Linked DNA regions of Drosophila melanogaster. The protein of the gene in region 3 interacts with the protein of the main gene of each other region in a biochemical or structural test. Each region holds a gene or a part of one and is shown on either strand. Other genes may lie near its edges. The genes, in order: Cdk5, ECSIT and Mekk1.

Evidence for each region.
Region 1: of the proteins of Mekk1 (region 3) and Cdk5, one has a biochemical effect on the other in vitro, tested with the Drosophila melanogaster proteins (one study listed by BioGRID).
Region 2: the proteins of Mekk1 (region 3) and ECSIT form a complex in vitro, tested with the Drosophila melanogaster proteins (one study listed by BioGRID).

Annotation. Positions count from the first base shown.
Region 1 is NT_033778.4:15,565,714-15,576,400, forward strand, and holds Cdk5 (Cyclin-dependent kinase 5), read right to left. Parts: upstream 5,705-10,687; 5' UTR 5,590-5,704; coding exon 5,422-5,589; intron 5,358-5,421; coding exon 5,170-5,357; intron 5,010-5,169; coding exon 4,645-5,009; intron 4,583-4,644; coding exon 4,419-4,582; 3' UTR 3,826-4,418; downstream 1-3,825. Other genes in the region: Flo1 (flotillin 1), read right to left, coding at 861-878, 1,090-1,254, 1,316-1,459, 1,530-2,000, 2,116-2,127, 2,439-2,793, 3,038-3,113, 3,406-3,457; CG30466 (uncharacterized protein), read left to right, coding at 3,802-3,825, 5,965-7,044, 7,100-7,213; CG8204 (uncharacterized protein), read right to left, coding at 7,476-7,678, 7,737-7,897, 7,953-8,020. UniProt on the Drosophila melanogaster protein: Probably involved in the control of the cell cycle. Interacts with D1 and D3-type G1 cyclins. Possible regulator of neuronal differentiation and/or development.
Region 2 is NT_033777.3:5,851,731-5,862,028, reverse strand, and holds ECSIT (ECSIT), read right to left. Parts: upstream 5,445-10,298; 5' UTR 5,359-5,444; coding exon 4,129-5,358; 3' UTR 4,115-4,128; downstream 1-4,114. Other genes in the region: CG2017 (uncharacterized protein), read left to right, coding at 1,625-2,297, 2,509-3,386, 3,445-3,717; CG34287 (uncharacterized protein), read right to left, coding at 7,926-8,633; disp (dispatched), read left to right, coding at 6,121-6,276, 6,678-7,685, 7,817-7,908, 8,720-9,262, 9,335-9,973, 10,158-10,298. UniProt on the Drosophila melanogaster protein: As part of the MCIA complex, involved in the assembly of the mitochondrial complex I. Involved in the innate immune response; promotes the production of antibacterial peptides.
Region 3 is NT_033777.3:18,736,930-18,748,461, forward strand, and holds the start of Mekk1 (Mekk1), read right to left. Parts: upstream 6,666-11,532; 5' UTR 6,308-6,665; coding exon 6,072-6,307; intron 3,168-6,071; exon of another isoform or gene 2,368-3,167; intron 1,670-2,367; coding exon 1,469-1,669; intron 960-1,468; coding exon 178-959; intron 115-177; coding exon 1-114. Other genes in the region: PGS1 (phosphatidylglycerophosphate synthase 1), read right to left, coding at 7,322-7,741, 7,800-8,864; gwl (greatwall), read left to right, coding at 9,643-9,792, 10,308-11,141, 11,202-11,360, 11,432-11,532.

The DNA.
Region 1 (10,687 bases), on a different chromosome or scaffold from region 3:
GATTACACTCTTGGGAGTAATGTGCGTTATAATACTGATATTCTGATTATGATTTTTTATCCGCACAGCTGGACAGAGCTGCTATTAGTGATGGTACAACATCAACCTATCGAAACTATCGATGTATTCAACTTCTTATATCGCATCGATTGTTTTTTGCGTCTTGAATATATAATATATATTTTGTGATAACAATGCTATTATATATAAATGCCTACAAATTCTCTTATTCCATTCCTTTTCATAACTTTCACTAAAGCTGAAGTTATCTGAGAGAAGCCAACTTCAATGCTTCATCAGAAACAATTGGCTGATTAATACATTAATAATAATATATTTAAAATTAATAAAACATTATAAAATAACTGAAGACGTATCGTTTATGGATTAATTAAAAGGCATGGCAACGCTGGTTGCCCAACGTATTTATATCAAAAGGTGGCAGCGCATATGCGAAATTGAAAAGTGTGGCAATGTGGAATAACCGCCAAAACCTTTGGTATTTTAAAATTTCAACTTCCTTTATATTTGCCGACCCATTAAAATAAACTCAATTTGTTGATCCAAGGAAGAATATTTATTCCACGCTTTGTGCAATACACTTATATAAATACATTATACATGTAATACAAAATATTTTTGCTCCTCTCTCTGAGTGTGTGTGTAAAACATGTTGCAAAATTTGTCGGGTTAGCACAAAGATTCAATAATATATTAATTATAAAGAAATTTAAATGCGTTCGATTTCAGTTTTGAAGTATTCGATCGTTCAATATAGCGTAATTTCTTTTTTGTTTTCTTATTTTCGTTTTGAAGAGTACATAATTTTGTGTGTTTTTGGTTTTCTTTTGGGTACTTTTTTAGCCAGCATGCACAGACTGAAATGAAGAGAAAGGAAACGTAAAGTGAATCGAAACCAGGGAATTTATATCGCAAAACAAGGCTCAAATCAAACGAAGGTAGCAAACGAAAGCAGCGTCCTCCTGTCTACAAAGTCTTTTGATTGCCATTTGTTTTGGTTTCGATTGCGTCGTCATTCATTCACCTCGACGAGCTCTGAAGTTAGATAAATTCAGAATTGGAACGTACCCGAGCAATGTCCACGCCGGTTATGTTCTTGACCAGCTCTGGCACTTTGTTGACGATCGACAGAACCTCGCCGGTCAGCTTGGCAGCACCGATATCGCCAGTTCCGCTGGACACCATCGTGATCTTCTTAGCCTGTGACAGTGGAGCAGCCACCTCGGCGGCAACCTGCGAATTAGATTCAACATAGAATAAATTATAGATTCTTTTAATCTAACCATTGACAAACCTTTGGCAGTGTGTCCAGGAGCATCTCCACCATGGCAGCCTCACGGTACTCACGATAGGCCTCTGCCTTCATGGCCATCTGCTCGGCCTCTGCTTTAGCCTTGGCCGCAATGGCAAAGGCCTCAGCCTCACCACGAATCCTGATCTGTTGCAAAGAAGATGGAGATGCTTCAGTTAATCGTAGTCTATAAGCAAATATTTAGATGGTATCTAACCGATTCAGCCTCGGCCTCGGCTTCCATGACCACGCGCTGCTTGTTGGCCTCGGCCAATTTCTCCATGCGGAACTTCTCCGCCTCGGCCGGTCGGCGGATGGTGGCCTCCAGCTCTCGCTCGCGGCGCATGATCTCCTGCTCCTGGACGGCAATCTCCTGCGTGCGCTCGATCACCTTCACCTGCATCTGCTCCTCCTTGATGCGCTGCTTGGTCTTGGCCGCTTGCAGCTCGTAGGCCATCTCGGCCTCGGCCTTTTTGGTCTGCACTTCCACATCGTATGCTGCCTTCTTCAGCTCAAAGTCGCGCTGGGCCTTGGCAATATCGGTATCGTTGAGGAAGCGTGCGGCCATGCGTTGCTCCTCGGCAATGGCCTCCTTAATGTGGGCCTCCGCTCGGGCCTCAGCCTCGCCAATGCGGGCATCGCGCTTCACCTCCGCCGTGCGGGCCATACCCAATGACCTCAGGTAGCCCTGAAAATGGAAATTGAACGCGAGGAGTTAGTATCCCGATAGTTACACAAGAAGCTGAATTTGATGGACGTGTCCCAACGATTCCACGCACAGGCGGTTGGGCGGACATACGCACCTTTGAGTCGCCCTACAGAGGATCCATGTGGACATGCAAGAAATATATATATTCACATATATACAAGAGGTTATTTGAAAAAAGGGAGCTTTGAAGCCGGTACACAGTGATGGGAAAATCGAATAAAAAAAAGAAAATCTAAAATAGAAAATAAGTTTGAATATATATAGAATCACTGCAGAATTGCTAAATAAATTTTTGTTCAAGTATACAAAACCAAAACTAATATATATATAAAATACAGAACCTATTCCCATCACTGCTGATGATTGGGTTAGTTGTGCGGGGAGAGTGGTAAAAAGTAATCGGTTGGAACTACGCACCTCCTCATCGCGCAAATCCTTGATGGTGTAGGAAACCACGGTTATTCCCATGTTGGCCAAATCGCTGGAGGCCACCTCAAACACCTGCTTGCTGAACTTCTTGCGGTCCTTGTAGATCTCCTCCACGGTCATCGAACCCATGATGGCACGCTGATGCCCCTCCAGGGTGACCAAGGCGATGTGGTTGATCTCTGCCTCTGATTTGCCCAAGAACTGCTCACAGGCGGTCAGCAGCATGTCCTCGTTCTGACCCTGGACCTTCACCTGTGCAATGCCTGTCACCGAGATGGGCACTCCTTGGCTGGTGTACACGCAAGGACTCTCTACCTGGAGGGTCATCGTGTTCAACGAAATTCTGGGGAAGATTGGCGGACATTTAACATCTGAGGGCTTGTTATCTTAAGACTAGGGACTCAGATACGAAGCCAGAAATATTAACTAAATATTATCTGATAAAATAAGATTATTTTATTATAATTTAATATATTTTAATAAAACCGAATTCTTACGAATAATATTTCGAATACCCGCGCTTTTTAGCGCCTCCCTAACCTGTGGCTTTTCGTTGGAACCCCTGGTCTAAGCCGGTTAAAACTCACCGCTGAACCTGCTGGCCCACTGGCCAAACGAATGCTCGTCCTCCCGGCACCAAAAGCGGCTTCATGTAGCAGCACCCTGCGCAGAAAACAAACAAAAAACACTTTGTTTACAAAACATTGCAGCATTTGGATAACAGCACCGCAACGCCGTTCAAATGCGCACGCATGGCTTCGGACTGCCGCATATTCAGCTTCTTCCCCTGTTATCCCAACAACAACATTTGCGGTACACAAAAATCGATAGTGACGTCACTTGGGGTGGGGTGTATATATATGTGTGTGTGCGTGACAATTTCATTTTTATTCACTGACTTATTTATTTAATCGATTTGACATTATTTTGAGCATATAAGGATCGTGTGATTTACCAGAGACAACTAAAGCCTCGTTGGGGCCGCAGGTTACAAATCCCCAAGTCATTTCTGCAGCACTTATTTGTTATTTATATTAGAAAATGGGTTGCTGCTGATAACAGCTTTTGTTTTATCTGCGCGGTTAACACAGTTTTCCGATTATTAACTATATAGCGAATTATCCGATCCACAGGTAGCCTTGTTTATTCGTCTAATAATATATATAAAAGAATTTCCGAGGTACTCGGTGCTTAAGATTCAGAAATCCGACCGGTTCGGTTAGCAATTCGTAGCACAATAAAAAAATCTCTCAATCTGTAAAGTTCTCAATTTCTAACTCGCGAGTGCGCAGAACGACTTTAACCCCTATTGAGTGCCGGGGGTTGAGGCGACCACTTCAAAATATTCATCATGCTGCGACGACGTAGTGCTGCGGTAAGTGTCTTTATTGGTTTAAAAATCTAGGTTACATCTCAATTTTTTTTATTCTAATTTACTTAATGACTCATATCATTCAGAAAGATCGAAATTCTTAAAAATACACAATAAATGTAATAAGAAAATCGTCGACACTCATTAAATTTGGAAACCAGATGTATTGCCTAGTTTTTAGTCTTTGAAAACAGAAACTAGGATTTCAAATATTTTTTCCACATTCACACAAACAGTAGATATCGTCTAGGAATTTGAACAATTTTCGGATCTTAACGATACACTCAACATAAAAATTTTTAAGAATAAAACTATTTTACTGAATCAATAAGTATTTTATCGATAAATGTTAATTTGGCAGCTCAAATGGCTATATTAAGTGTCACATTGGTAGGGATTGTCATAAATCAAACCTTTTGCTTTGGTAAATCAAACTAATGAAATTATAAAGAACTTTTTATCTTATACTATAATCGAACTCTACTGCAAGGACATACATATATAATTAAAAGATCTTTGCTGGACAAAGTCTCGCATTTTGGCTTAAGTCTAATCAAAGGTCGTGAAAACAGTGGCTTGGAAAGAACCTTCCGACCTCAATGTCCCGAAGAGCTGCTGTCCGTAAAGTAGGGATGCTGCATCGCCGCCTCCGCGCTAATTCGCTGATTTGGCCGGCAGATGAGCAGCTTTTGCAGCAGGTCGCGTCCCTTGGAGTTTAGCCTAGGTACCAGCTGACTCCACGAGGTGATGGCCGGAAAAGCTATAATATAAATAGGCTTTTAATATTGGTATCGATAAATAAAATCCGTCTAGAATCCCTACATGGAAGCGCCACGTAGTCGGAGAGGTGCGAAACTCCTGGCCAGGAGTCCTCGTTGGGGGTGCCCAGCACACGGAAGATCTTCATCAGCTGATCGAGCACGTCAGAGCCAGGAAACAGCGGTCGTCCAGCGTCCGCCAGTTCGGCCAAAATGCATCCAGCGGACCACATGTCTATGCTGGTCGTATAGAGCTTGGCTCCAAATAGGACATCGGGTGGTCGGTACCACAGGGTCACCACTTCTGCGGAGTAGCACTTCACGGGAATGCCAAAGGCTCTAGCGAGACCAAAGTCAGCTAGCTTTAGCTCGCCGTTTTTGTTGATCAGCAGGTTCTGTGGTTTCAGATCGCGATGCAGGACATTATGGCTAAAATAGGATAATGTAGCGTAAGTTAAGTCTCAATGCTATAAAATGGATATCATTCGGAAATGTGCCACAGATGAAGTTACTCCAAATAACACTTGATTCTAACTATAATCGACACAAGATAAGACCTAATCCAGTGCTGATACATATATAGGTATACCTGTGGCAGAATGCCAGTCCGCGGAGCAGTTGGAGCATAAAGCTCCTGCAGACGGCCATGTCGATCTCCCCGTTGAGGCTGTCAAAGTACTTCTTGAGGTCCTGGTCGCAGTGCTCGAAGACCAGGGTGAGTTTCTTGTCCGAGTGCAGGACGTCTATGAGGCGCACAATGTTCTTGTGCTTCAGCTCCTACGGATGGTAATGTGCCGATTTAGTTTATAAACTGGAATCACTTCCTGCTCGTCCGACTGACCTTCAGCAGGCAGATCTCCCGGAGGGCAGAACTGGGCACACCCTCGTCGTCCTCGTCCAGTCGCACCCGTTTCAGGGCCACTATTTCCATGGTGTCGCGGTTGCGACCCTTGAACACCGTGCCGTAGGTGCCCTCCCCGATCTTCTCCATTTTATCGTACTTCTGCATTTTGCTGTGTTTTGGTGTGTATTATTTTGCGTTCAGATGGAAAACTCCGGGGATTATTGTTTTTGCAGTTTGTTTTTGCTGGCCAGGGATTCGTGCGCCTAACAGCACACTGTTATTCGCTTACAGCACGCGGTGACTAACCAACATCGCAGCTGACAGTCTGCTGTCACCAAAAATACTCAAAATTAACAGATATCATTTTAAAAATGTTGATAAAACTTTTGTTATAATTTTATTGTTTTATTTGGACTCGATATTAGCTAAACATACGAATATAGACCGACAATGATAAACACCGATCTTATGGTACCGCAATGCAACAATATAGCAGAAATATAAGTATACAAGTTTCCTAATTTCTTTTGCCCTTTGCAGAATACCAAGCCTGGCTTACTATGTCTGCCCGATGATGTTCTAATGATAATTCTAAGTTATCTCGACTTGAAGACCCAACTAAAACTGAAAGACTTTCATTTCCGGTTTAAGAAATTAATGCCGTATGTGTGGCGTGCTTATAACAAATGTGCATATATATCCTTGATTGAAATGCAGCTGAGCGACAAGGATTTGCTATTCTTCCTGGAAAGTACTCAACAAATCCTCAGCACTCTGCGGCTCAAAATGAATAATAGATCTAACTTCGAAACACTTACCAGCTGTAGTTTTCCAAAACTTAAAGATTTTCGATTTTCCACGCATTCGTTTAACTTAAACGATGCGGACGTGCCAAGAATGTTGAAAACTTTTCCAAATCTGACAACTTTTAGCCCCCATGGAAAGTTTACTGGCAAACACTTTGATGAATTCGAGTTTCTCGAGAACCTCACGGTCTCCTACTGCAGCAAATTCAATGTCACCAACTTGATACAGATCCTGAAAACCAGAAAAATAAAATCCCTGAAGCTGGGTATCTTCGATATTGACCAGATTTCGAACACAGAACTGCCCTGGAAAGGGATTAGAAACCTAGAGCAGCTGCAGTGCTTCCAGGAGGAAATGATGGTGTGGTTCCTATCGAAACTGGAACGTCTAACTCACTTGAAGAAGCTATTTCTTTGTGGTCACGTTAGATACGGATTTCTGAGAGAGATTCTCATAGCTGCGAAGAGAAGCACTATAAATATGATCGAGATAAGCCAAAATACATCCATATTTTGTGAAACTTACGGTTTAAATGTGGCTATTAAGACCCTAAAGGTGGCTAATTTTGGTATGCATGCGTATCAGCATCTTCACATTAATGTCAATGAATTTTATATACAAAATTCGGTTTGTGTGGACGAAATTAAGTTTCATACCTTAATACAAAACCTAAACACACACGAGGTCCTGGGTATATACCATTGCACCTTCGGATTTAAGGAGTTCACATTCGATGCGAAGAAACTGGGAGAAAACCGTACCACAGCACTTAATATTTATGTGGAACTAAACACGTATCTCATGTCTAATGAGGTCTAAGTATTTCACAACTTATATTAGCTTTCGTTTCTAATATTTTTCATTACAGGATCCCATCCCCATGACCTGGAAAGTGCAAGGGGAACATAGGCTTTTCAAGTTGCACATGAAGCATCCAAAAATCACTTTTAACTCGGATCCAGTTTCAATTTACTTTGATTGAGTTTGATTGCCAAGGAACGAAGCTGTAGACTGATGACTAGTTTGATATGCCAGCTGAGATAGATAACTTTAAATGGCCGAGCCAAATAATTAGTTGTACGTTTTCCCTGGTTATGGAAAAGATTCAACCTTACCGGCGGATTTCAATGAGAAGTTTCCAGGAGTTCTTCAATGCAAGCTCCTCTAGAAGCTGCCAAGGATTGACAGTACTATTAGTTACAAAATAAAGGCTTAGTTTTATTGAGACTGTGTGTCAACTTAATTCAGGAGTACAACTCAAATTCAGTGCGCTCAGCATCCGTCATCGGTTCGACGACTTGAAGGCAGGCATTAGCGAACTCCACGAAGAGTGGCTCCTGCATGGCGGCCATCATGGCCGACTGGGCATTGATGGCCACATCAATCTGCTGGAGCAGCGAACGCAGGTGTGGATTGTGGAGCAAATTACGCAGTTCCTGGCAGTTTTCTGTACGGAAACCATCATACTATGAGAAATGTGTATAATTGCGAATTTAAACACCTACCTAGTTGCTGGAGCTTCTCCGCGGCAACTGTGTCGTCGGTGGGGAAGGGCACATGAAGCGTAGGTTCCTCCTGGTAGCCAACTTCAGTCTTTTTCAAGTCGGACTCCCTTGTCGCACATTGGGGCGAATCCCTGTGTGTCTTATAACAAGCCACAGAGCAGCTACATTTTGCGACATTTATTATCTCCGTAGTGAACTGTTCGAATAGCTACTTACTAGGGTGCCGAGCATTTGCTGCACTTGTATTTTCTCAAGTTATCTACGCAAATAATGCATTTTTCCATCTCATCAAATTCAATGTCGCGTGCAAAATAAAACTCAGCTGTGCGAGTTTTATAGCCTCCAGCTTTTGCCTCTATCGAGGGTTCCAAGCCGTTTCTGCTCCACTGGAACGGCGTTATGTTTTTGGAGGTAAACAATCAAAAAGTTAAATGCAAAACGCAAGCAGAATAATATTAAAATGCGCATAAGATCGCGGGGCTGCATGTTAATTTAGTGAGAAAACAAAACTAGTGGAGTTCTACGACGAGTGTGTTGAAACGAATCCCATAGCTTAGTTAGATTGTTCTGTAGCTGCCAGCCTTCGTCAACAGATGAATTCTATCTTTGGCGCCATTACTTTTAATTTGAATTTGAACAATTTGCTGGAACAAATAAAATGTTCATCATCAACATTCAATTTTGCTCATCATAAATAAGTAAATACTTTATATAGTCAGAAAGCTTCAATCTACTGTATCTGTATCTCACTGACTTACATATTGAAAACGTTTAAAGATTATCCACAGGTATTTTAGTTATTAACCATACGATTAGCGGAGTGTTTGGTCAGATTGAGGAAGACATAGAGTCGTCCTGCCCTTTTCCGGTTACGAATAGCCTTATTTGATTGAATGTATCCTGTGTATCCGGTCTGTTTGCTTTGGCCAGTCTCATTTATGGGCCATCCCGGGCACGTCATCTTCCGTGAGGCTTCCGAGCAAACAAACGAGGAACGCTTATCATTGCCCTCCCATTTTTCCGCCCCAAAGCCTCCCAATCCTTTCCCCCCGCCGCCGATGGCAATGCGCAGTCTGAAGCCACCTGGCGAATTAACCGAGAATTCGACAAGCGCGAGGGGAGCAATCAAATGACGGTCGGCGTGTCCGCAAATTGTAAACATATCCTGCACACGGAACGTACTGAAACGGAACGGTCCTTCCCGGGAAGGAGTCGTTCAGATCCGCTCCAGCTCCAAAGACAAGTACAGTACAACCAGAAGTAAAAATAAGTACAACAGTGAGGCTCGATTGGTTAACCGAAGCATGGAATGCCCTTTGTTATTAAGCTTTCTTTCTAATGAAAACGTGTTATGTGTATGCACAATATATAGTCCTAAAAAGTAGGTTTAGTTGCAAGAGAAACATCTCATTTATATGGCCATATTCAGCTATGAAATATACACATATAGATGTGTGTCATTAAGATTTGATAATAATGATAGTCCTATAGGTAATGTCATTGGGTTATAACTTCTTACAGTCCTGTATACGATAACTACACCCATTGAGATCCTTCGTGTCCTGCTCCTAGTCTGAGCCGTAATAACCTCTGCGAGGGTATGGCAAACAGCGAAAAACTTTTGGTGGCAATAAATGACTTCAATGACTGACTGACTGACCGGATGGGGTGGTCTAGGTGCATGGCTATACTCGTATATGAATCGTTTTTTTTCTTCTTGTTTCTGTTGCCATATTTTGGGGGACTTGTAGCCGGGACTGGTTGTTGTTATTTTCAATCGTTTTTGCTTTGTTTTCTGAGCGCTACCAATTGGATTGCACAAAGAAAAACGAGTGGTACAAAAGAAAGCAAAGGATGCAGGCTAACAAAGAGTTTGGGGATGTGGAAGGTCTGGGGAATCGGGCCGGGTAACATGATGTGGCGCCTCTGCCGCTTCCGCTGTTCGTGAGGCACAAGCGCGATAATTGCCAGCGTTATCCGCTCGGCCTGCCAGTCAAATAGGCGCAGCAGCAGAGGCGCTGGCAAGCAGCGGCTATCGGCGGTGGCAGGGATTTCGGGGGGGCAGGAAGACCCTTCGTGTGACTCGCCTACTTTTGATTTACAACATTCGTGCAACATCAGCAGCAGTGTATCGCCAAAAGGAAAAGGGGCGACCAATGCAAACAGCAAGAAGAAAAGCGAGACACACGCCACCAAATGGGGCGAAAGTTTCTCGCGGGGTGCAGTAGTGGCATTTTCCGAGGGCAGGTGTCGTTCGTTAGGAGTTTTCAGCGTTTTTCATTCCCAGCTTTTCCCAGTTACCAAATACCAACTACCAACTACCAACTACCAGTTACCAGCTAGCCGCCAGCGAAAAAGCCAAAAGCGATATTAATAGATAGCGGCACTTTTCGCTTCGTTTTTATCGCCCGAAAAGCCAAACGAGGAAAACACTGGAAGGTGGAAAAATAAGGGGGCAGATAGTCCTGGCAATTGGGCAGATTGACAGATCATGCAATCGTAGTGGCACAGCGTTTATAGTGCATATAATGAATATTAAATTACATGCAACACATATGGCTTTGGCAGTCGAACTTCCTTAGCGCGAATGTACTTTTTTCAAAAAGGTTTGGTTCTTGTGGAGGCAGTTTTTTATCATACTAACCACAAAGTGTTGCACAGCAAAGGTTTAAATCCCTATAAATATATCTATTATGCAACATGTCAAGTGGAGATTGTATGTCCCATAGATTCTTAATCTTTAATAATGGTTATTTTCCGTATAGCGATGATCGCCTGTAGTCCTTCCAGGTAGTTGGATTCATATTGGGTGATAGCAGGCATGCAAACGCGACATCTGCAAGCATATTCGATTGGAATTCACCGGAGTATTGGAGATAGTGGACTAGTGGGTCATCAAATGGATTCGAAAATAATTCGAAATGCCGAACGGATGCCGGGGAACATTAACT
Region 2 (10,298 bases), about 13 Mb from region 3:
CGGAATTCAAACGGAAAGGAGCTTTCCGCGAAGCGTCCTCAATCAATTTCGAGATAGAGATAGAGAATAATAACGCAGCTGACGCGGTCAAAACAAAAGCGCTTGTGTAGAAAATCAAATGCGAAGCAAACGCGGCGAGGACAAGACGCGAAAAGCTGTCAAAACTACGCGCCGAAAAAGGAAAGGGTCTGGTCGATCAGAAATCCGCTACGCAACACAGATTGCGTATCTACATAAAACGTAATAATTTAATTGTGTGGGAGTTATCTCACAATTAAGAAGGTTCGTTTTTAAACTAAGTTTCCTTATTTGAACAACAATCGTAGAACTAAAGAGGTGTGTTTGAATTGTGGAAAGCCAAGCATTAATTGTTGAATAAAATTATCAAACGTCGCGGCTTCGCATCAAAATCGTGAAAAAGTTAACTTTTATAGTTCCAGTGTCGAAGGACGTAATGGCGTGTGACGTAATTAAACATTGTATATCCTGCCTTCTAATTGCAAAAATAAAGTAATTAGAATTAAAACCTATAAATTTACCATTTATCGTTAGCTTTAGTAATTAAATAGGTTCGTAATAACATCCCGCATTAAATATTTAGGTAACTTTCTTCTTGTGGAAATTCACTAAGTTAATTTTTTTAAGCTCAACCCCCACTTGCTAAACAAAAAATACGTTCCATGAAAGAACTCAAACGCCCTAGGGTAAGGTATTGCGAAAGCTTTTGAAGTATTCAGGTGCTTGTTCTTCGGTCAACAAAGCAAAACAATCGGGAGCAGGTTATAAACAAAATCGAAAGGCACCCAAAAGCGGAGAGCACAAGTACGCACACAACTACGAACTACAACTACAAAGCACAGCACTCAGAACCCAGATAGCCGAACGAACAACAAATTCGACCTGGGCAAATGAAAAGCGCAGCCAAAATCGATATTTTGTGCCAGCGTCGCGCGCAAATAGGAGCTGCTTTAGCGCTTAATATCTCGAATAAACTCGAGCGGATTGGTTTGATTAGTGAGCCAAATATAGGGATTATCTGGTAAGATGTTTGGAACTTGTCGTATTATCGACCTTCTGTTCCACCTGCCCCCGCGCGTGGGCTCGAAACAACGGCCAGAGTCGTGGCAAACATAAACAAGCATTTTCAAGGTCGCTGCAAGTCAAAGACGGCCAAAAAAACAAATGGGGAAAATTTCAGTTTTGATGGATACACATAAGCAAACGGTTCCATCAAAAAGATACATAGAAGTTGAAAAATAATTGTTTTTAAAGTGAAACAAATGACGTGGTGTCGAAATAAAATTAAAAAAACTTTAGTACAATATTAAAAGTTATTTCAACCCAATTATATTGGGTAATTCTCAGACTAAATACAGTACAGTATGAGTAAACAAATCAAATAATATTTACTTATGCATGTATCTCATTGCTATTATTTCAGCCACGGCTGTTCGAAAATCTGTATGTATGTACATAAGTATGTACATATGTACATTTTCGATGTCGCAATTGGCCCAAAAAATGTTTTCTTCTCAAGACAAAGAGTTCCTTTGTCTAAACAGAATTTTTACCATTTACCTCATCTGAATTTTGTATTTATATGATCCACGCTTCCCTTTTGCAGCAACACATTATGGAGTCCTTCCTGAGTCTCTTTGATCCCAATCAGGACGACGGCTTCGAGGAAGAGCCCGAGCTCAATGGCAACAGCAGCGGCGGCGGAAGCAGCAGCAGCGACTATGAGACGGACGCCAATGCCAACGAGTGCAGCGTAGTGAGCGGGATGCCCACCGAGCGGGGCAACCTGATCTTCGACTTCGAGCAGGGAATGCTGCCACCAGAGCCGCAGCTCGGAAATGTGGAGTACAAGCTGAAGCTGGTCAACCCGTCGAAGCAGCGATTCGAGCACCTGGTGACCCAGATGAAGTGGCGTCTGCGCGAGGGAAACGGCGAGGCCATCTACGAGATTGGAGTATCCGACGCCGGCTATCTGCAGGGACTCAGCGACAAGGACATGAATGCCTCGCTCACCACGCTCAAGCAGATGGCCCACAGCCTAGGAGCCAGTACCTCAGTGCTGCGGCGAAAGACCATCGCCGCCCGACGCGCCGTCGCCGAGGTACTGGTCCGTAAGATCCCCGACGACCAGCACAACATCGAGGTTCGGGTGGCGGTGCTCGGCGGAGCTGATGCAGGCAAATCCACTTTGCTGGGCGTGCTTACACAGGACGAGCTGGATAACGGACACGGCCGGGCGCGGCTCAATATGTTTAGGCACATGCACGAGATTCAGTCTGGTAATATGTCGTTATAAGCACTAAACACAGATATAAATTAAATTAAGATGTTTGGCATCCATTTTAAATTGTCATCAATAAGGAATATATCAGTTGTACTACATTATTCATACATCTCTCGTTTACAAACTTTTTTTTAAATTATATTTATCACTCACAAAGTCCGGTTTGTTTGCTTGAAAATTACCAATTTGCTCCTCTTTTCCTTAAGGCCGCACCTCCTGCATCTCCCACGAGACGCTTGGCTTCGATGCACTGGGTAATGTGGTCAACTACAAGTACAATGAGATGATGACGGCAGAGGAGATTAGCGACAGGTCCAGCAAGCTGGTTACCTTCATGGATCTAGCCGGACACCGACGCTACATGCGCACCACCGTGCAGGCACTGAGTGGATACTCACCCCACTACGCCATGCTGGTGGTATCGGCGGGCAGCGGTTGCAACGACACCACCGAGGAGCACTTGGCTATCGTGCGGGCACTGGACATGCCCTTCTTTGTATTGGTCACGAAGACAGATATCACATCGCCGGACGCGACGGTACAGGAGTTGTGCAACCTGCTCACCACCATTGGGTGCCGGAAGGTTCCCTTTGTGGTGACCAACACGGATGAGGCCATCTCCGCCGGGTCAAACCAGATCTCCGAGAACATTGTGCCCATCTTTTGCGTATCGAATGTGACCGGCACGGGACTCAACCTAGTCACAAAGTTTCTGTACGTCCTTTCGCCCGGAATCAGCAACGCCGAGAAGGATCGACTCGAGCAGGAGTCTTGCGAGTTCCAGGTGGACGAGATCTTCCGGGTCTCTGACGTCGGACCCGTTGTGGGCGGTCTACTTGTCCAGGGCGTGCTGACCGAGAATATGGCAATGAAGATTGGTCCGCTTCCCGATGGTAGCTTTCATCCCGTTACTGTTAATACTATCCACCGAAACAAGGCTCCTTGCCGAGTTGTCCGAGCTGGTCAGAGCGCTTCGCTGTCTTTCAGTATGGATCAGGATGTGCCCACGCTACGAAGTGGCATGGTTCTTTTGGGTGATATTGGAAATAGTCTGGATGAGCCCTACGGGACCTTCTTCTTCCAAGTGAGTTGCTAGTTTTCATTTATCGTTACCAAATAAATACATCAACTTCCCTTTGCAGGCCAAGGTGTCCGTGCTGTTCCACGCCACGGCCATCTATGTCGGCTTCCAAACCACAGTCCACATAGGCAGCATTCGCCAGACGGCCGTCATTCGGGGCATTATGGGCGGCGAGCGACTGGGCACAAACGATTGTGCTTCGGTGATGTTCGAGTTCGTCGGCCACCCGGAGTACGTGCGTCCTGGAATGCGCATCCTGTTCCGCGAGGGCACCAGCAAAGGAATCGGAGTTGTCACGCAGGTGTTTCCGGTCAACAAGACAGGCATAAAGTAGAGAAGCGGGCCAGATGGATAGTTCCAATGACATATCTATATATCTCAAACAAAGATGACATGTACATATACTTAATTAGCAATTAGAGGGAGGCGTTAAATCTTAGGCAGATCTTCTGTACACTTAGTTTCGGGTTCTGTGATTTTTCGTTTAAGCTCGGCTCACAATCGGATGTTGTGAGTAATCCTTCTCAATTAACCTTATTTCATTAAAATCCACCCCAAAATGCATACAATGTTGCTTTCAATTCGCGTCCGAGCCAAAGAGTATAAATAATTACCGAAGTATTAATTTTTTTCCTTCTAGCAGATGTACATATATATGTACATATGATCAAAACCGACTAACTTTAAGCAACATTTACCATCAATTCTATGGTATACAAAGACGAAAAAGTGCTCAACAATTTGTTTATTTCTGTCTACTGCTAATGTGCTCATCTTGACTACTGTTATCACTTGTTGCCGGGACACTGGCGCCACCTTCAATTTCCTCCGCCTTGGCTGGCACTTCGGATGTGAACCGGAAGAGGACGGGCACCTCTCCTATGGAGGGATTTCCGTTCGCTTCCAACAGGCGAATCCACGAGAGCAATGAGTCCTTTGTGGAGGTGCCTGTGGCACAGATGGCCATAATGGTTCCGTCGTCCTGTTGGTGGACAGAGCGCAGCTTTCCCAGCTGGTTGTGTCGCCTTGGTGGAGCACGACCAAAGAAGGGTACTTCGATGTGGGAGACATCGTCCTCGTCCAGCTGCCGCTCATCTAATTCAGACAGGAACTCAGAATCTGCATCAGCGCGCAGGGTAAAGTAGTTGATCCGGCGATTCCTAAGCCATATGTGAAAGGGTCCCTCGATGTACAGAGCTTTCTGGCGAGAGTGCTCCCGCAGCAGTTTCTCCTGCTCGGGACTCATTCCGCTCACGATCCACGTATCGTCAATGGCATCCTTCAGCTCGCTGGTCTCGAAAACCGTGATTTTGGACCGCAGGTCGACCGTGCACATCCGCTCTAGCGCCAGCTTGGCCATTTCCAATGTATCATCCGGAACAGGATCGGGCAGTGGCCACGGTGATAGGTTCTTAAACTTTGGCATCCAGTACATCATGCGCCAATACTTGCGCAGTGGATGTCCCTGCCTGCCAAACACATTAAGCAGCATCGCCTCCATCTCGTGATCGGGCATCACCCCGCAATCTTCCATCTGCTCAAGCAGATCAATGATACACTGCTGCTGTTTGGGGTAGTGCATGAACTCTGCCTGGAACATGTTGGTGGGTATGAACTTGCCCTTGGGCATCACGTTGATCAGGGCCTTGTAGACCTCCAAGTCTCTTTCCACCCCGAAATCCGCCATATTCTTGAGTGCCGCGTAGATGAACTCCACATGGTTCCGACGGTGGACGTCGCGCTCCTGGAATATCTCCACCATGGTCAGGTAGCTGTTTTTCGTCCTGTCCTGGGCGGCGGCAAAGGGGTTCCTTAAAGCCGGCAGGTTTTTGGTGCCGGGTTTTTGTGCCCTGGGATTTGGATTCGGGTTCTGTTTCGGATTTCCCTCGTCCGTAGCGTAGTTTCGAAAGCGGCTGACCAGCGAATGGCCTCCATTGCCGTGCAGCCGGAGCAGGCATTGTGCGCGGCGCAGCATTTTTTATTTATAATTAATTAATTGAATAAATTTGCAAATACGATTACAAAACATTGCACAAGCTGCGGAACTAGTTCGCGTTTTGCAGCACTGCTGCTGCAACATATGTTTTAATAGTGCCGATAGTCTAGCGTATTTAGCCAAATTTGGTAAATTCTAGGGCGAAAAATTGTATTTAGTTTCGGCTGTACCCAAAGATTTTCAAGCTTAAATAGTGTCATGACCGTAATACACGCTTAAAGTCATACGCTAGTAACAAAAGTTGAAGTGAATATTGCATAAGCTCATTGTGACTACCTTCACGAATCTCTTCCTTCGGAGAACAGCTGTTTGTCTGGCTTAGGGCCATCATCACTGGTGACTGAGTTGCTCAACACTGTATTAACTCAGTGTATCCTTTGTGCTGCTTTTTGTTGTTATTTCACCGTTTTCTGCGTTATCCTTATTCGCATAGTTTTCGGTTGTTTTTCTGTTGTTTAAGTTAGTTCCGAACCCTGAGTTATTTGCACGGGCGCGCGCCTACATAAAAATGCAATCCAACAAGCCGATCTCTGCGGCGGAGGCCTGACCAGCAGGCAGTATCTATAACAGAAGCAAAACAATAGACTTTGGCTTGGTCCCAAGGAGCACCCACCAGCCCAACGTTATTCGAGACTTCCAGCCGCCAAGGATGCACTGAAGGGAAGCGGAAACCCAAGGAGCATTTGATGTTCCCGCAATGCGAAGAGGGTAAAGAGGATTCGGGCATCACATTCTACTGACATGTTGTGCTTCGACTCGGAGAGGATGAACTGGTACTACCACGTCCTGGCCAGGCGTCCCTACCTGGTGGTCGTCTCCATTGCTGTCTACTGTGTCGCTTGCATCATCGTGGCCCTCGTCCTGAACAAGCTGCCGGACTTCAGTGATCCCACCTTGGTTTGTCCTATTAGATTTGTCCAAAACATGTTCACTGCTTGATATTTGGAGAATATATCTTATCTTATTTTACAATTATTTTTTAAAATATTGAGCACATGGAAATAATCCGAAAATGTCTAAATGATATTATTTTATTTAAATTTCGTTATATATCTATTTTTTTTAAATATTAAGAAGTTAAAATATTTTAAATATTCACAGAATTGCTATAAGAAACTACAGGATTACTTGTATACAAACTATTCCTGTATTATATTTTCATTGTTATTATGTTATTGTTGTAAAAATTGTGGAAAATAATAAGATTAATTTCTCACTAATATGACTTATTTGATCACTTTATAATGTGATTATTTGTCATGATTAATATTTATGATTCAACATTTATTTCACTTTAGGGCTTCGAAACCCGCGGCACCAAAATTGGAGAACGACTGACGGCCTGGTACAACCTGCTGCAAGAGACTGACCACCATGGTGCTCTTTTCTCAAATCCATCGGATCTGTGGGAGAGGAGACGGGTAGAGCAGGGCTATGTGGAGACGAAGCTGCATCCGAATCACAGGCGACGCAAAAACAAGCACAAGAACAGAAACAAGAACAAGCGACGCAAGGAACAAAATCAAAGCAGCCACGAGCATCACGATGTGGCGCAGAAGATGATGCAGTTCAAAAAACGGCTGAAGGCTACTAGTTCTCCCTCTCCAAATCTCGGCTTTGACACCTGGATCGGGGACAGTGGAGTATTTCGCGACTACGAGATTACAAACGACAGCGCTTCCTCCTCTTTGGAACCCACGCGACGCACTGAGCAAATCGAATATGGCCACAACACCACCTCAGTGGACGAGGAAGAGCATCAGCAGCGGGTGCAGACCAAGAAGAGCACTTGGCGGCTCCTAAAGCAAGCCGCCACCTTGCCCACCGACGGTTGGGCAGACATGCATCGTCGCCAACCCATCGAGGGATTCTTTTGCGATTCATCGCCCCGGAAGGAGTACTCTCATTTTGTGGTCCAGCGGATCGGTCCCAACGCCACCGATTCTCTATTTGATTTGAACGGACTGCTGGCCATGTGTCAGTTGCAGGATCAGATTACCGAAGTCCCCAGCTACCGGGCATTTTGCGAGCCGGAGATGCTTACCACCGAGTGCTGCCGGCCATGGTCACTGCCCAACTACGCCGCCATGCTGGCCAACAAAAGTTCCTGTTTCGACCTTACCACGGAGGATGTTACTTCGCTGCACACGCTGCTCTTGGGCTGCTATGAGTACTTCCATGACCTAAAGATGGACAACCACTGCAACGAAATACCGCATTGTCGTGCTCCTGAAGAGTGCAAGCGGCTAAATATCGTCTTTAACGTCCTGAATTTTCTCACCGACTTTAGTTTCATCAAGTCTAATGTAAGTTATTGAGTTTAAAATAAGCTTAGACCCCAAAACTCTTTTATTAAAACAGATTTGTATTTGTCCGTTGCTTTACTCGTATTGCATTAAATTCGACCATATAATATTGGCACTTTTTTTTTTTGTAGGACTCGAATGTATACCTGAAATACGCCATGATTTTTATACCCGTGGCGCAATCCAACCGCTTGCTGCCACTGTTCCACGAATGGGAAGACGTGTAAGTATGGAGCACAGCTAATATTTGCGAAATTGATACCGGTCGATGGGTGTGGAGGGCATTACATTATTTTTAGCTTTCATCAAGGCCGGAACGCATATGGTATCAAAATAGGTGGTCAAGTTGTACTTTGTGAAAATTTTTCGTAAATCGCTGGCGATTTTGTCCAGAGTAGTGTCCTTTAGCCTACGTTCTGGATAGAAGGAGCTCCTAAACGGCTCCGTTTCCTGCAGGAAATTGTAATAGCACCCATATGTGGTCCGATAGTCCTCGTCCTTGAGAGAGTAACCTTTTTTGTTCCTATAGCGCCGTCGACTTACAAAAGAAACGAAGTCATTCCGAGAGTAATCGTTCATGTACACCGATCTACGAAGGTCCTTCACAAAGTCCTTCAGAATTCGGAAATCCACAGGCGGATACATAAAAAATAGCTTGTAGATCCTTTCGTTACACCACTTGTTGCGCTTGATGAACTGTGCGTAGTCCTCCCGCCAGTCCATTGATTGGGGCCATGTCTTTGTTTTATATTCAATGCCACCAACCTTTAGATTTGCGCAGTAGTGACCACTTATTAGAGAGGGATCCTCTTGGGTTTTCTTAATCGGGGGATTGTAAACGGCTCTTTCAGTATGATCCACATAATCCGCTCTGCTGGTGGTTACAAGCACCCTCGTCCTTGGCAATTCCATTTTAATTAATTCCTTTTCCCGTTGAACTGGATCCATTTTGCAATTTTTTTTGTATTTTTCTTTTATTTAAAAATATTTTTGATGTTTTCTGTTTGATAATAATATTCTGAATGATTTTTCAGGGAGCTGATCAACGAGCTTGTGGAAGTGGTTGCGATGGACTTGGGCCTCGAAAACGAACTCTTTAACGAGCTGCTGCTGACGGACGTGTGGCTAGTTTCGCTGGGAGGGACATTCGTCATGGCTAGCGTGTGGTTGTACACGGGATCGGCATTCATCACCTTGATGTCCTGCGTAGCCATATGCTTTTCGCTAGGACTAGCGTACTTTTTTTACGCCATCGTGCTGGAGTTTGAGTTCTTCCCCTATATGAACCTTCTGGCCGTGGTAGTAATAATTGGCATTGGAGCAGACGACGTATTTCTGTTTCTTAAGATCTGGCACTGTGTGCTGACCGAGAGGTTCAGCAATCGATGTACCTTGACCACTCAGTCCCAGAGTGCTCTTCCCACCCTGGAGAACAGTGATCACACGGAGTCACTGGAAAACATAATGGCGCTGACTATGCGACATGCCGCTGCCTCCATGTTCGTTACCTCACTTACCACCGCCGGCGCCTTTTATGCCTCCTACAGCAGCTCTATAACAGCTATAAAGTGCTTTGGGTAAGTTAATAAAAGCAAGATTAGATGAATCTTAATATTTAGTAATGCTCATTTAATAAATTATATTTTTAGGATTTTTGCGGGAACTGTCGTGGTGACCAACTACTTACTAATGATAACTTGGTTGCCTGCATCGGTCTCCATCATGGAACGACTATTTGCCACAAGGATGTCCTGCCATCATCCGATGTCAATAAAGCTGATCCACGCCTGCAAGAAGTCAATTAACCGATTTTGTCAGATGTTTGAGGAGTGCATCACGAAAAGCATCATGAACTATGCCTATCTCTGGCTGCTGATCTTTGGGGCTCTAGGCGCGTCCAGTGCCGTCATTGTGTTCTGGTATCCAGGACTTCAGTTGCCGGAAAAATCACACTTCCAGCTCTTTGTGTCAAAGCATCCATTTGAGGTTTACTCCAGTCTCAAGCAGCAGTTCTGGTTCGAGAAACCATTGCAGGCGTACGAGAACTTCAAGATGCACATGCATTTCGTCTGGGGCGTTCAAGCGGTGGACGACGGCGACTATACGAACCCCAACTCATACGGCCACCTGCACTATGACAATAATTTTAACGTATCCAGCAGGCCGGCACAACTCTGGATCCTTGATTTTTGCCAGAGTGTGCGCCAGCAACCCTTTTACAAAGAGACTCTCGGCATGCTGTTGCCCAATTGTTTCATTGAAAATCTTATCGACTATATGAAGCGCAGGTGAGCATATACAATTATATACATACTTACAATGGCTTAGAAAGCTCATTAAAACTGGGTTCAGAAAAATCGATTTTGTTTACATTTGAAAGCTGGAACTGGTTTAGATGGATTAAGACAGGAGATATAGAGACACCAATACAATTTGCAATCATTAATAGAAGCTTTTGTTCATGTTGTTCAGATGCATCGATGATATGGACAGTACCAGGAAAGACCGTTCACCCTGCTGTGACGCACAGTTTCCCTTTGAGCCGCACATATTTGAGTACTGCTTGCCACAAAGCATATCCAACATGTATGACACTACATTTTTCCGGCCCGG
Region 3 (11,532 bases):
CTTCCAGGCGCGTCAGCATACCCTCCACTTCTCGCAGCGCCAACTCCTGATGATCCATGCAATCCTTGCAGTACAGCGACATGCATCCTTGGCACATCTTGCTGGGCAGTGGAGCTGGAGAATAGATTTAAATAATAAATAATAAGGGGTTTACTTTTGAAGAATGGTTTCACATACAGCTGGCATTAGAATTGCTATCGGAATGAGTGCCACTATCCAAGCTTATCAGACTCGGCTCGCGGCGATAACGCGGCTGGAACTTGTAGTTTATAATGTGGGTGAGCAGATCGGAGACTCCCTGACGCGCTTCGAAAAGGTACTTGTCCTGCTGCTCCACAGTTCGGTCTGCTTGCCAGGCCTGTAGCTCTAGCCAGATGAGATCCTTCAGCTCAGTCTGCCAGGTGTGCTCCTCCTGTGATAGTTTGGCGTCCTGTCGATCTACGCTACCGAGCTTAATTAGATTGGCAAACGTTTCGTGGAAGTCCTTTCTTTTCCCCAACCCAGGTGTTGCTCTTCCATCACTCCTTAGCATTCCAGCGGGAAGTTGGGCAGCGAAAGCCAACGGCGGCGCCGAGGAGCGATACCCAATGGGACGTGAGGACACGCAGCGATAGCGATTGCAGCTCTCCACCACCTTGGAAGCAATTCGCAGTGGAATCGGCGCCATTGCCTCCGAATTGAGCGGCATGATCTGGTCCAGAGACTCCAGCGGATGAGCTGTCTCGTGGAAGCTGTTACCTCGTGGAGCAGCCACCGCCGTTGTGGCCAACGAGTTCTTCATCTCACGTTCCGAGTCGCGAAGGAGTGACTGCAGCCGCTTGTCCGTCCGCTTGCTCTCATCGTTGACAAACATCTCGTTGAGCAGGGCGCAGTCCATAGTGTTGCGCCGCAGGACGCGGGATCTGGCCGTCCTGGTCTTTTTGGGGGTGCCACCCACACTGGCCGGTAAGTCTGCGGAACTGAGAAAAAGCGTTTAGAAAGTGGTCGCTAATATAAAAAAAAGCGGATACCATTAACAACACAGGAGATCTGCATTTTTTTATTATAATAAAAAGACTACTGTTATTTGCATATTCTTGAGGTTACACCCTGAAATTCTATATATTTCTGGATATTAATTTCCAAATAATTATCTGAGATTTTTGTAATTTATATTAAAATCAAATTTTAAACTGTGTAAAATGGGCAATTCTTGAAACATATTTATTTGTAAATGGATATTAAATACTTCAAGGTTATTTAAAATTATTTCCATTTTCTAATAACAGTGATTACGAAAATGACATCAGCCATAGAGATGGCACTATCAGATGCGGCATATGGTAGCATATGGTCATTTGGTGAGTTTGCGTTCGTCACTATTCCCGATCACGTACCTAGCACGGACGCAAACCCTTATCGCGGCCATCCTGATGCCTTATCCATATGGAGCACACCGCATTTACTGATTGACTGTACTGATACTCACGCTGTCACATTGACCACCTTCTGTTTGCGTTCCCAGTCGCGGTTCTTGATTTTGAGCCTGGTACGTGGCGGAGTAGTGCCGAAGGCCTCATAGTGCGCCGCCAGCTCATCTTCGGGAGGCATGTCCTCCTCCAAAGCACCAATCCGATTTCGAGTCATCTGCACTGGACGCGAAGGCGTCTGCTTCACACGGTACTCAACTCTAAAAGATCAAAAAAAAAAAGAGTAGATGATGACGTTAAATATAGTATAGTATATTTGCATTAATCTAGGGGCTTGTCCTAATTGTTTCGCTAATTGCAACGGCGGACAAGTGCCGCTTAATCGCCGATAACCCAGATAAATATACCTACTGCACTCAGAAAAAAGCTTTAGTATTACGGTGTGTAATTTATTGAACAAGGAATTTTTCACTCAATATATTTTACATCTGCGATAAAGTGATTAAATTGCTAAGTTAATGTATATTAATTTTCATATTGTCGCAATATAATATATCTTTTTTTTTAGGACTATATCAATGAGTGTTTGAATCGAGTTTTTAGCGAAATCAATTATCAGTTGATAAATAACAGTTATCCCGAACTAACATTAAAATTTTTTATTTGAACTTTCAACCAAATTTCACGCTGTTCTCCGTGTGCATCACATACAAATTTGTCGGTGTATCCAAGGGAGTGAAAGCGGCAAACTCTGGGGAGGAGGACATCCCTATCTTATCTGACTGCTGCCGGTGTTGCAGACAGCCGCATGTCACGCCTGCGATTATGCCCTAATTTGAGCAGAGGTTTGATTTATTCCCGACCAAAAAAGCCCAAAATTGGCTGGCAATTACTCGTTTGATTGTGGTGTGCAAATCGCGTCACACTTTTCATCAGCCCATTGGCTTGGATCACTCACTTCTTCCGACGCATTTTGCAGACCTCCTCCTGGGCAATCACTGTTTGCGCAGTCCAATAGCTCCAAAACCGGCACTAATCAGCGAGTCGCAGCGAGACGAGAGAGAACCTTGGAGAGTGCAATCCTCTTTTTTACTCTCAACTGGCTGGTTGATAATGCCGCTGTTTTAAACTTTGCTTAATCGCCGCAATCGAGGGCTAGTGTTACTTTCAGAGTCTCCGGTGGGTGCCCGAGCCAGATTTATGCACATCTAATTGCACCGCACCATACACCACTACAACCCACTCTGGGGACAAAAAACAAACAGCGGCGGAACGATCTGAGAGCAAATAAAAAGCGACAGCTCACAATTAAAAGCTGGTAGAGCTGGAGAGAACTTTAGACGCGAGCCAGCGAACGATGACTGGACTGGCCTGGGGGCTGGATGACCGATCCGCGGTATGCGACTGCCGATTCCCTTCTCGGATCGATGGAATCTTTACTGGTGGGGTGGGTTATGGGTTATGCACTATCTCCCACCGTAGTAGTGTGTAGTTTTCTGGCTGGTTTTCTGGTTTATCACGACGAATTGCAAACAGGCGGCAGTAGTTCGCACGCCTCGCACCGAACCCTTTCGAATTTCATAACGCGCAGCACTTGTCGCGGCAGCCAGTCAGTCAATTTATTAGCACTTTTAACAAGAATATTCCCCATCTATTCGCCAATGCGTACAGTATACGGTTTTGTATGTAGCGCAAGCGAGTGTGTGCCGCGGTGCCGACGAAGCGGTGTCGCCCCCAAACCGACTGCTATTCACTGCCAATCGCGGCGAACTGAAAAGAGCGAGCGACGACCGCCCGACCGACGCATCCGATTGTTTACGGCCCTCAGCGGAGAGCAACTAGTGGGTGGCCACTTCAAATCGGGGATGCCGGTTTAGCTATTAAATAGTTATGTTTAACATTTACCAGTGGTCATTTCAGTCAGAAACTACTGGAGTGTGGCACAGAAAGTGTAAAAGTATGCATAACATATTAAATATAAATTGTGAAGCCTACGGTTTACAATAAATACAATACCTGCCACTATAAACTATAGCCATTTGTGTATGGTATCTCAGAGAGAGGAGACGCAATAAGATGAGCAACAGAGGTATGGAAACTAAGAGCACAAGAAAGAGAGACACACCACCGTGATACGGTTTGTTGTGGAACGCAAAGGGGTATTCGATCGTTTCTGGAGCGCATTGCGTTTGTTTGTGGTTCGCAATTGTCTTAGCCGCGAGAATATTTATTATTAATTTATGGCATTTTATTATGTACCCGCTTGTTGGCTAATAAGCAATGTGTTTACTTAAGCTTTTGAGTGTAGGTATTTTTCTACAAACGGTCAGAATATGAAAATCGATTCAAATCAAGTCAATCAACTTCATTGGCTCTATATGAAAATCTTTGGTCACGTGACCAGCGGTGCGTATACTTCATATTTATAGATACACATAAAAGTTGCACATTCGCACCGTGGTCCCCATTTATGTATGAAGCATTGGAAATTCGATGACTAAGCGATCAATTTATCAGATCGACTGATAGGACGAGTTCGTCCAAAACAAAGTGAGTTGTAATAAGAAACAGACAATCAGACACCCAATCAAGATTATTAAATGTAAACAAATGTTAATATGCAACCATAGTTTTTAGTTTTATCTTTCAATGCTTCTTAAAGTAAAGTAAAAAGTTAAAAATGTAAAATAGTAATCAAATGGATTTTGAGAGGTTTTCAATTTTTAAATAAATGGAAATAACAAATCATACACAATCTGTGAATCTCATGTTTATGCTGTTTTCTTCTGTAAACATGGCATTTAAAAACACATTAGAAACTTCTAAAATTAGTGCAAACGGCAGTGGCACGTGTGTGTGTGGGCGCGTGCGTGTGTAATATGCGGAAATGTTTTCTGATATGTGTGTACAATTATGCTTATCAAACATACGAAAGCCCCAAAATTATAACCAACTGAACTGAGGTCTAGAACGTGGAGCAAAAGAGAGAGAGAGAGAAAGATAACCTGCAAGTTCAAGTACAAATACGAATGTTGCAAGAGCGCGAGCTCCCGCTCTCTTCACCAAAGCCAACAACAGTTAGGCCAGAGACCTTCAATCATCGGAATTCCATTCAGTTAGCCAGGTGACAACCACAAAACATTATGGACGGAGATATGAGAAGAAAGCGAATTCGATTTGAAAACAGAATAACGAAAGAGGTTACAAAGCAGAGTGGGCAAACGCACGTATTAAACGCGTTTTAACTTCCAATAGTCTCCCCTCCGTCTCTTCTTCTTCTTCCCTCCCCCCTAAAACAGGTATACCAGCTGAAGAAGAACAAGATTGGCGGCATCAAATGAGAACAATGCTTACAGATGTCCGAACTACCGATTACCCTATAAATGCTGTTTAAACCTTTAAAGTCAAAAACTTTTTCGTAACCTTTCCTAAAGAATCACTGCTTGTATCTTAGCATATACGATGCTTTAATAAAAAAAAAAACATATGTAATATTATATCTATACGTTGCCATTTTTCCAGCGAACCAATCAACTTATCAATTAACAGGTATTAAAATATAGAGACCAACGAAAAAAAGAGCGAGCAGCAGACACATAAATCTCGGCTAATTTCACTTAGTTGCCATAGAAACAGGTGCCAAAAGAAAATGGATGTTTGTCGCAAATTTCCTGCTAACATACGACAATCATGTTTTCCCGCAAAACGATGAACACTCACCTATCCCATAAAAATCAAATCAAAAAAATGAAGTGTATTATGAATAAGCCCCTGCGCATAAGACACAAAAAAAAAAAACAGCGGAAAACGTATCCGTAATTCTCTCAAGGTGAGCGTGTGTATGTGTTATCAGTCCACCGTCAGCGTTATCAGCAAATATCTTGGAAGACTTGAGGCGGCCCCACACAAAAATATGACTATGATAAATGCCGAAATACTACGAAAAACGACGCAGAGCGAATATAACATGCATTATAAAGAAACTTAGTTTTTGTAATGTAATACCTAGCAATTATTGCTTTTTTATTTGAACACATTAAAATCAGTTTAAAATATTTATGAAGGGTGCTCTCTTGTAAGTGAGAAAACTTGTTGATCACTGAAAACAATCGTTACTGTTACATAAAGGAGCGTTTAGACTTCAAGATTTGGTTTCAATCTCAATCTACTAAAATTTCCACAAAAATTTCTAAATATATTACGTGTTCGACGAGTATGCGTTACACAAATGTGATCCAATTTTTGCAGTGCACCTGTGCAGAATTTTAATTGCGCTGCACACAAAGTGTTTAATTTCAGGCAGAATTCGCAATTTGTTGCTGTTCATTTTTTGTGCCTGTCTTGCAGTTCGCTAAATTCTGGGGTTCGTTGAGCCACCCAGGCCAACAACAAGATAACGTGGTCAAAAAACACGTTGTTTACGTTTAAACAATTAAAACTGGTGAAATGCACAGCGAGAGAGAAGAAATGCGAGAGCGAATGAGAGGGAAACCCCGCAAATATGGCTTTGAGAGCAGAGCCGCGACAGAGATATGTTAAAAGAGGGGGAGAGGAAATGGGAAAGAGAGCGCTTGTTAGTTACGTGCCAATGCAGACTTTCTTGTTTCTGTTTGTGTTGGGAAAAGCCCAGCAATTCGAAAACCGCTGGTGTGCTCTGCTCACCTTGCAACATCCTCCTCGACGCTCTGCTCGCGTCGTAATCGTATGGGCGGAATGGGCGGGATGGGTGGTGTGGGTGGCGTTTCAGCTGTAACGGTACTATGATGCCCATTGCCATTCTCCTCCTCCCTTGCCACCTGCTCCTCTGCATTTGTTGTTGCTGCCGGTGTCTTTTGCAAACGCAAACTCTGCTGCAGCGCCAGATAATCAATTGTTCGCACTCTTCGCCTGTTTGACATTTTTGCAAAACTCTGTTTTTTCTGCTTTTGTTATATTCTTGGAATTTGCTGCTCACACGCACACATGCTCAGCCAGCCGCCAGTGCACAAACACTATCGCAATCCAGCACCAACACACACTTGCACTTTAGTAAGCACGCGCCGCGTTTTTATTTTTCTTTTTGTTTTGCCTTTGGCGATAATCAGATTTATTTTAATTTAACTTTCACGGCGAGCAAACACATAACGTTTAACGCGCTCCCGAACTTGGCACGCAGGTAAGCACTTTGTCGTACGTCTTACCGGGCCAAAAAAAGCAGCTAACTAAAGTCTTCGAGCCACTCAAGTCGCCCGGCGTTTTTGAAGAGTGAAAAAAGAGAGAGCTTTAGAGGTGGCAAAGAAGCGATAATCAAACTGGGACTTTTCGTTCAACAATTGGTTAAAAGCTTAAACTTAGCAGAGTATTTCGAAGAGTTAAATTTTTGCTTAGACTTTGCTCTTAAATTTCTTTTAACAAAATTGGTAAACACATTGAGGACATCTGAAAATAATAATTAAACAAATTGCAACTTTTTTCAACAAAGTTCGAAATACATTCTTGAAAATAGCTAAAAACATTGGTCTATCCGATTATTTCTGCCTCTCCAAAGCGGTAAACCATCGTTAGGCGTCCATCACTATTCACAGATGGGCGGGATATTTAATTTTGAACGCATGATTATTATCAGCACCAAAAATTATTAAAACTAAATGAAAGTACATATAGATAGTACAAATATTTATAACATATGCACTTGATTCTAAAATGATGATCCCCCTGGTGATTAGAACACAGCGTGGTATTTTTCCTTCTGCATGCCCTCGATTCTCTTTATTATTTAACAAACTTTAGCGTGTGTACAAAATCAACAATTACCAGCAATAGAAACACTTGCCCAGGGCAAAGATTAAACACGAATTATAAAACTAAATTAACTACCTGGGATATGGGGCTTAACAAAGAACGAAAAAAATTAAACTACTATATCGAAGAGCCTAGAAGAAATTCCTGAATATGCGAACGACGGCCTGGACCCATCGCGGAACGGGTCGTTGGACGATTTCCCGCTCCGCCGTCTGTGACAGATCGTACAGCCGGTCAGCTTCCGCCTGCAGCCGCTGGCTTAGATCCTTATTAGCCGTCACAAGGCACACCTGTGTCTCCAGATCGCGGTTCACCGATCGCTCGCCAAAGTTCGAAGAGCCGATCAGCGTGAGGTTTGGCAGTATTGCCTCTGGCAGGTAGTACCACAGTCCTTTAGCATGGTACGTCCAGCCGGGCTTTTCGTACTCGAAGAAGTTAACGCGGTGGTTTTGCTTCCGGCGGACCAGGCTCTCGTAGAAACTCTTGGCTATCAGTGTGTAGGCAGCCGGAATTCCGCCCGCTGGTCCTTTGGCACCCTGAAAGCCGTTTGCCTGGAAAATGAATTAAATCGGGTTACTATTGGTCAACTAATTACTGATAGCCACTCACATTTGGATGAGCCATCAGTATGCTGCATTGGGCCAGGCACTTGTGCGTGAGCGTGTCCATGTACTCCTGCGTCAGGTTGAAGTACCCGGTGGCCAGTTTCAGCCGTGATCCAGACAAGCAGTTGGAGAGCAGCCGCTTGGTCACCACGCTGTCGTGATGAATGCCGATCTGGCCCATCTCAAGCAGCGGAAAAATCCATGTGTCTGCCTGCGGATTCTGCTCTTTAGTTCGCGCCTGCCGCTGAAACGTCTCCTGCACTAAATCGGAAATACGTTTACGGGCAAGCTGGATAAACTGCTCCTTGGTGCCCTCGTACGGCAGTATTCGCCAGTTGCGGTGCAGTCCCTCGCTGGCATCTGGCGCCACTGCCAAACTAAACTCTTGAACGCGTTCGATGAACTGCGCATAGAAATCCGCCAACGGTTTGTCCTCAATGAGTATGTATCGATCCTGCCGGTTGGTGAAGTAGTCATTGGACAGATTGGCGCCTGATATGATCACGGCATCGTCGAACAGGTAGACCTTCATGTGCTGTAGTCCGAGAAGCTCATTCCACCGTGGCGGTGCTAGTCGCTTTGTCATCCCGCGCAGATCAGGCGTATGGTACAGGGATAGCTGCACCTGGCTCGCAAAGTCGCGGACCAGGGGTAGCAACATGGTCTTGGAGTTGAGGGTTCCCCGCGTGCCGCGTGTAAAGTCCAACAGCACGTTGAGCCTCAGGGCAGACTGTTGCTCCAGGCTGTGACGCAACGTCTGAACCATTGCGTTCTCCAGTTGCCCAGTGCCCAGGTACAAACTGGCCAGCACTATACGGCGTTTGGCCTGACCGATTCGTTGCACCAGCGTTTCGTAGAAGTGCTTTGGCTCGTGGATGACCTGAATTTGATCGCCTCGCAGCGGGAAGCACGGCGCTAGGTTGTGTAACCAACTTAGGCTCTCCAGTGCGGGTGCTCCAGGGAATCCGGTGGCCAGGACACTGGGCGCCTGCTGCAAGCAGCCCAGAAAATCGCCCTGAGCAGCCGGAGAGAGCTCCTGGCTGAAAAGGCGGCGAAGGTATGGCATCATCTTGGCGGGGATTTCTCTGACGGATTGGCAAGCGGATCCTCACTCTGGGCGGCTGCTATTTGATGACAGGGTATGGCGCATTGCTCACTGTCTGTTTGGCTGTATCCGGAACACACTTTCATTCATGGAGTGCTGTTTTATCACAAAAAAAACTTCGAATTTCAGCACGTAAATAAATTCCAGGTGGAACGCAAGTGTTGCAAAGCGAGCTGGGATTCGATAACAATTTATAGCTATCGGGAATTATCGACTGTTCATAATGGTGATGGTGATATGGTGATCCTGCTATGTGTTTCTTAAAAAAAAATAATATTTAAATCAAATTAATAAAAGCCTAACCATTTATCAATAGTTACTAACTGTTACATTTTTAACATTTTTGTGTATATCTACTTTTATATATATGCATAAAGAAATATTTGAATAAATTTACTTGAAATATTCAACCGGTATCTTACTAATATGCATTTCTTTTTGGTAATATTTAATTTTAGTTTAAAAAATCGTTTAATTTTAAACTGCAATAACATCGATGTTGTCAAATTTCTAGAAACATCGATAATACTAAGAATCGAATTAGTTTCACCTCTAGTTCAGGTCATAGAAAATAGACGCGCTGTTTTAAATGTGTGTTTGAAATAAAAATTGTGCAATAAACAAGCTAATAGCATTCAGGTCTATATCGAATTCTATACATTGTATATCTCTGTACGATAATTGTATATATTGTGCGAAACCGCGAGAAAATCGCACTCTGACCGTCGGAAACCTGGAAGATATGGAAAACGCCGATGCGACTTCGCAATCGGATGTCCACATCGACTACAAAACCCCCAAGAAGACCCACTCGCTGATCGACAGTGAGCAGTTGCTGGACAAGATCAACATCCTTACCACCAAGCCGGAGAATCACTCCCAGAATGCCAAGGTACGCGGAGGAATCGCAAACTGGCGATTACCACACGTGGGTGGTTTACAGTTAGCCACGGTTGCTAATCAAGAAAATTTGAAATGCCTCTAAACACAGTGTTTATGTAAATTGATTAAAAAAGGGCAGTACATGTTCAAGAATTAATGAAAAGGTTATGTTTATGTATTATAGGAAAAACGAAAAACATATGTACGTTCAAATGTGATGTTATATAGGATTTCCATTTCAAAAACATTTTTACAGTTCTATTTATCTTCTGTTTTTTTTACATAGCTCCTTTCTTCATTTCCTTTTACTGGCTATTGATGTACATATATCTTCTTTTATCCAATTATATATATACACATATGCTTTTTTAAGATTTTTTATTTTTTATATCTAGAACTGAAGTTTTTCTATGTCTAACTTTAGCTATATTATTTTCCTTTGTTCTGCCTTGGGCTATAAGAATTACCACCACCACTTAGGTCACTTTATTATATAGTAATGGATACATTCGCTTTCTTATACAGCTTCCCACTATCAAGGATTTTGTCATCATTAAGCCAATCAGCCGCGGCGCCTTTGGAAAAGTCTTCCTGGGCTACAAGAACAACGACTCGAAGCGGCTGTTCGCCATCAAGGTGATGCGCAAGTCAGAGATGATCAACAAGAACATGGTGTCCCAGGTAATCACGGAGCGGAATGCCCTGGCCCTCTCCCGCTCTCAGTTCTGTGTCAGTCTCTTCTACTCCCTGCAATCGCTCTCCTACGTCTACCTGGTGATGGAGTACATGGTGGGCGGGGATCTCAAGTCACTGCTGGCCATGTTTGGGTATTTTGACGAGCCCACGGCCCGGTTCTACGTGGCCGAGATGGTGATGGCGCTGCAGTATCTGCATCAGCACGGAATTGTCCACAGAGATATTAAACCGGACAACATGTTGCTCTCCTCCAGTGGCCATGTGAAGCTTACTGATTTTGGGTTGAGCAAAATCGATATGCGAAGAGATCTGGAAATATCAGACCTTATAAACTGCTCACCGAATTTAAACGCCCGCACGCCGGGCCAGCTTTTGTCGCTTACTTCGCACCTGTCTTTTGGGTCAGAGAAGAAACTGAATGACTTCGGTTCTGTTTCAAGTGGACAAAACAACGGAATGGGCTCGGTGGCCACGGGGACATCCCACTTGCTGCAGGCCATCAACAAGCATAGTCTGATAATGGAGCTGTCGGATAGCGAGGGCGACACCTCGCTCAATGATGCAGAGAAGACGAGCGATAGCAAGATATCTGGTGTTTCCCCCTTCTTTTCTGCCGAGGAGGCCAATGAATCCATTACTCATACCTGCACTACAAACGTAAATGTGGGTAAACATATTGCAATTAAAATGGATTTATTCATCTATCATTCTCCGAATCTTCAGCCCCAGGATAGCAGCTCGTCTTGTTCGTTCCACACTTGTAACTCGGCCGACCTGAGCAAGTGCTCACCACCACTGGAGTCAAAGGACGGTGCTGCTGCGGGCAATGCGATCCCCAGCAAGCGGCGCGTGGAATTCGTCTTGGATGCGGCACCCTGTCAGGTAAGTGGCTGGAAATCGGCCAAACCCGTAATCTCTGTATTTATTTGCATAAATGGTTGATTCTCTGAAAGGGCTGCAAGCTGGCCGAGCAAGACAGCAGCAACATGGCCACCAATGATGGCAAACATTTGCCCAAGATAGATAACGCAATCGAGGCTTCGTTTGAGTTTTC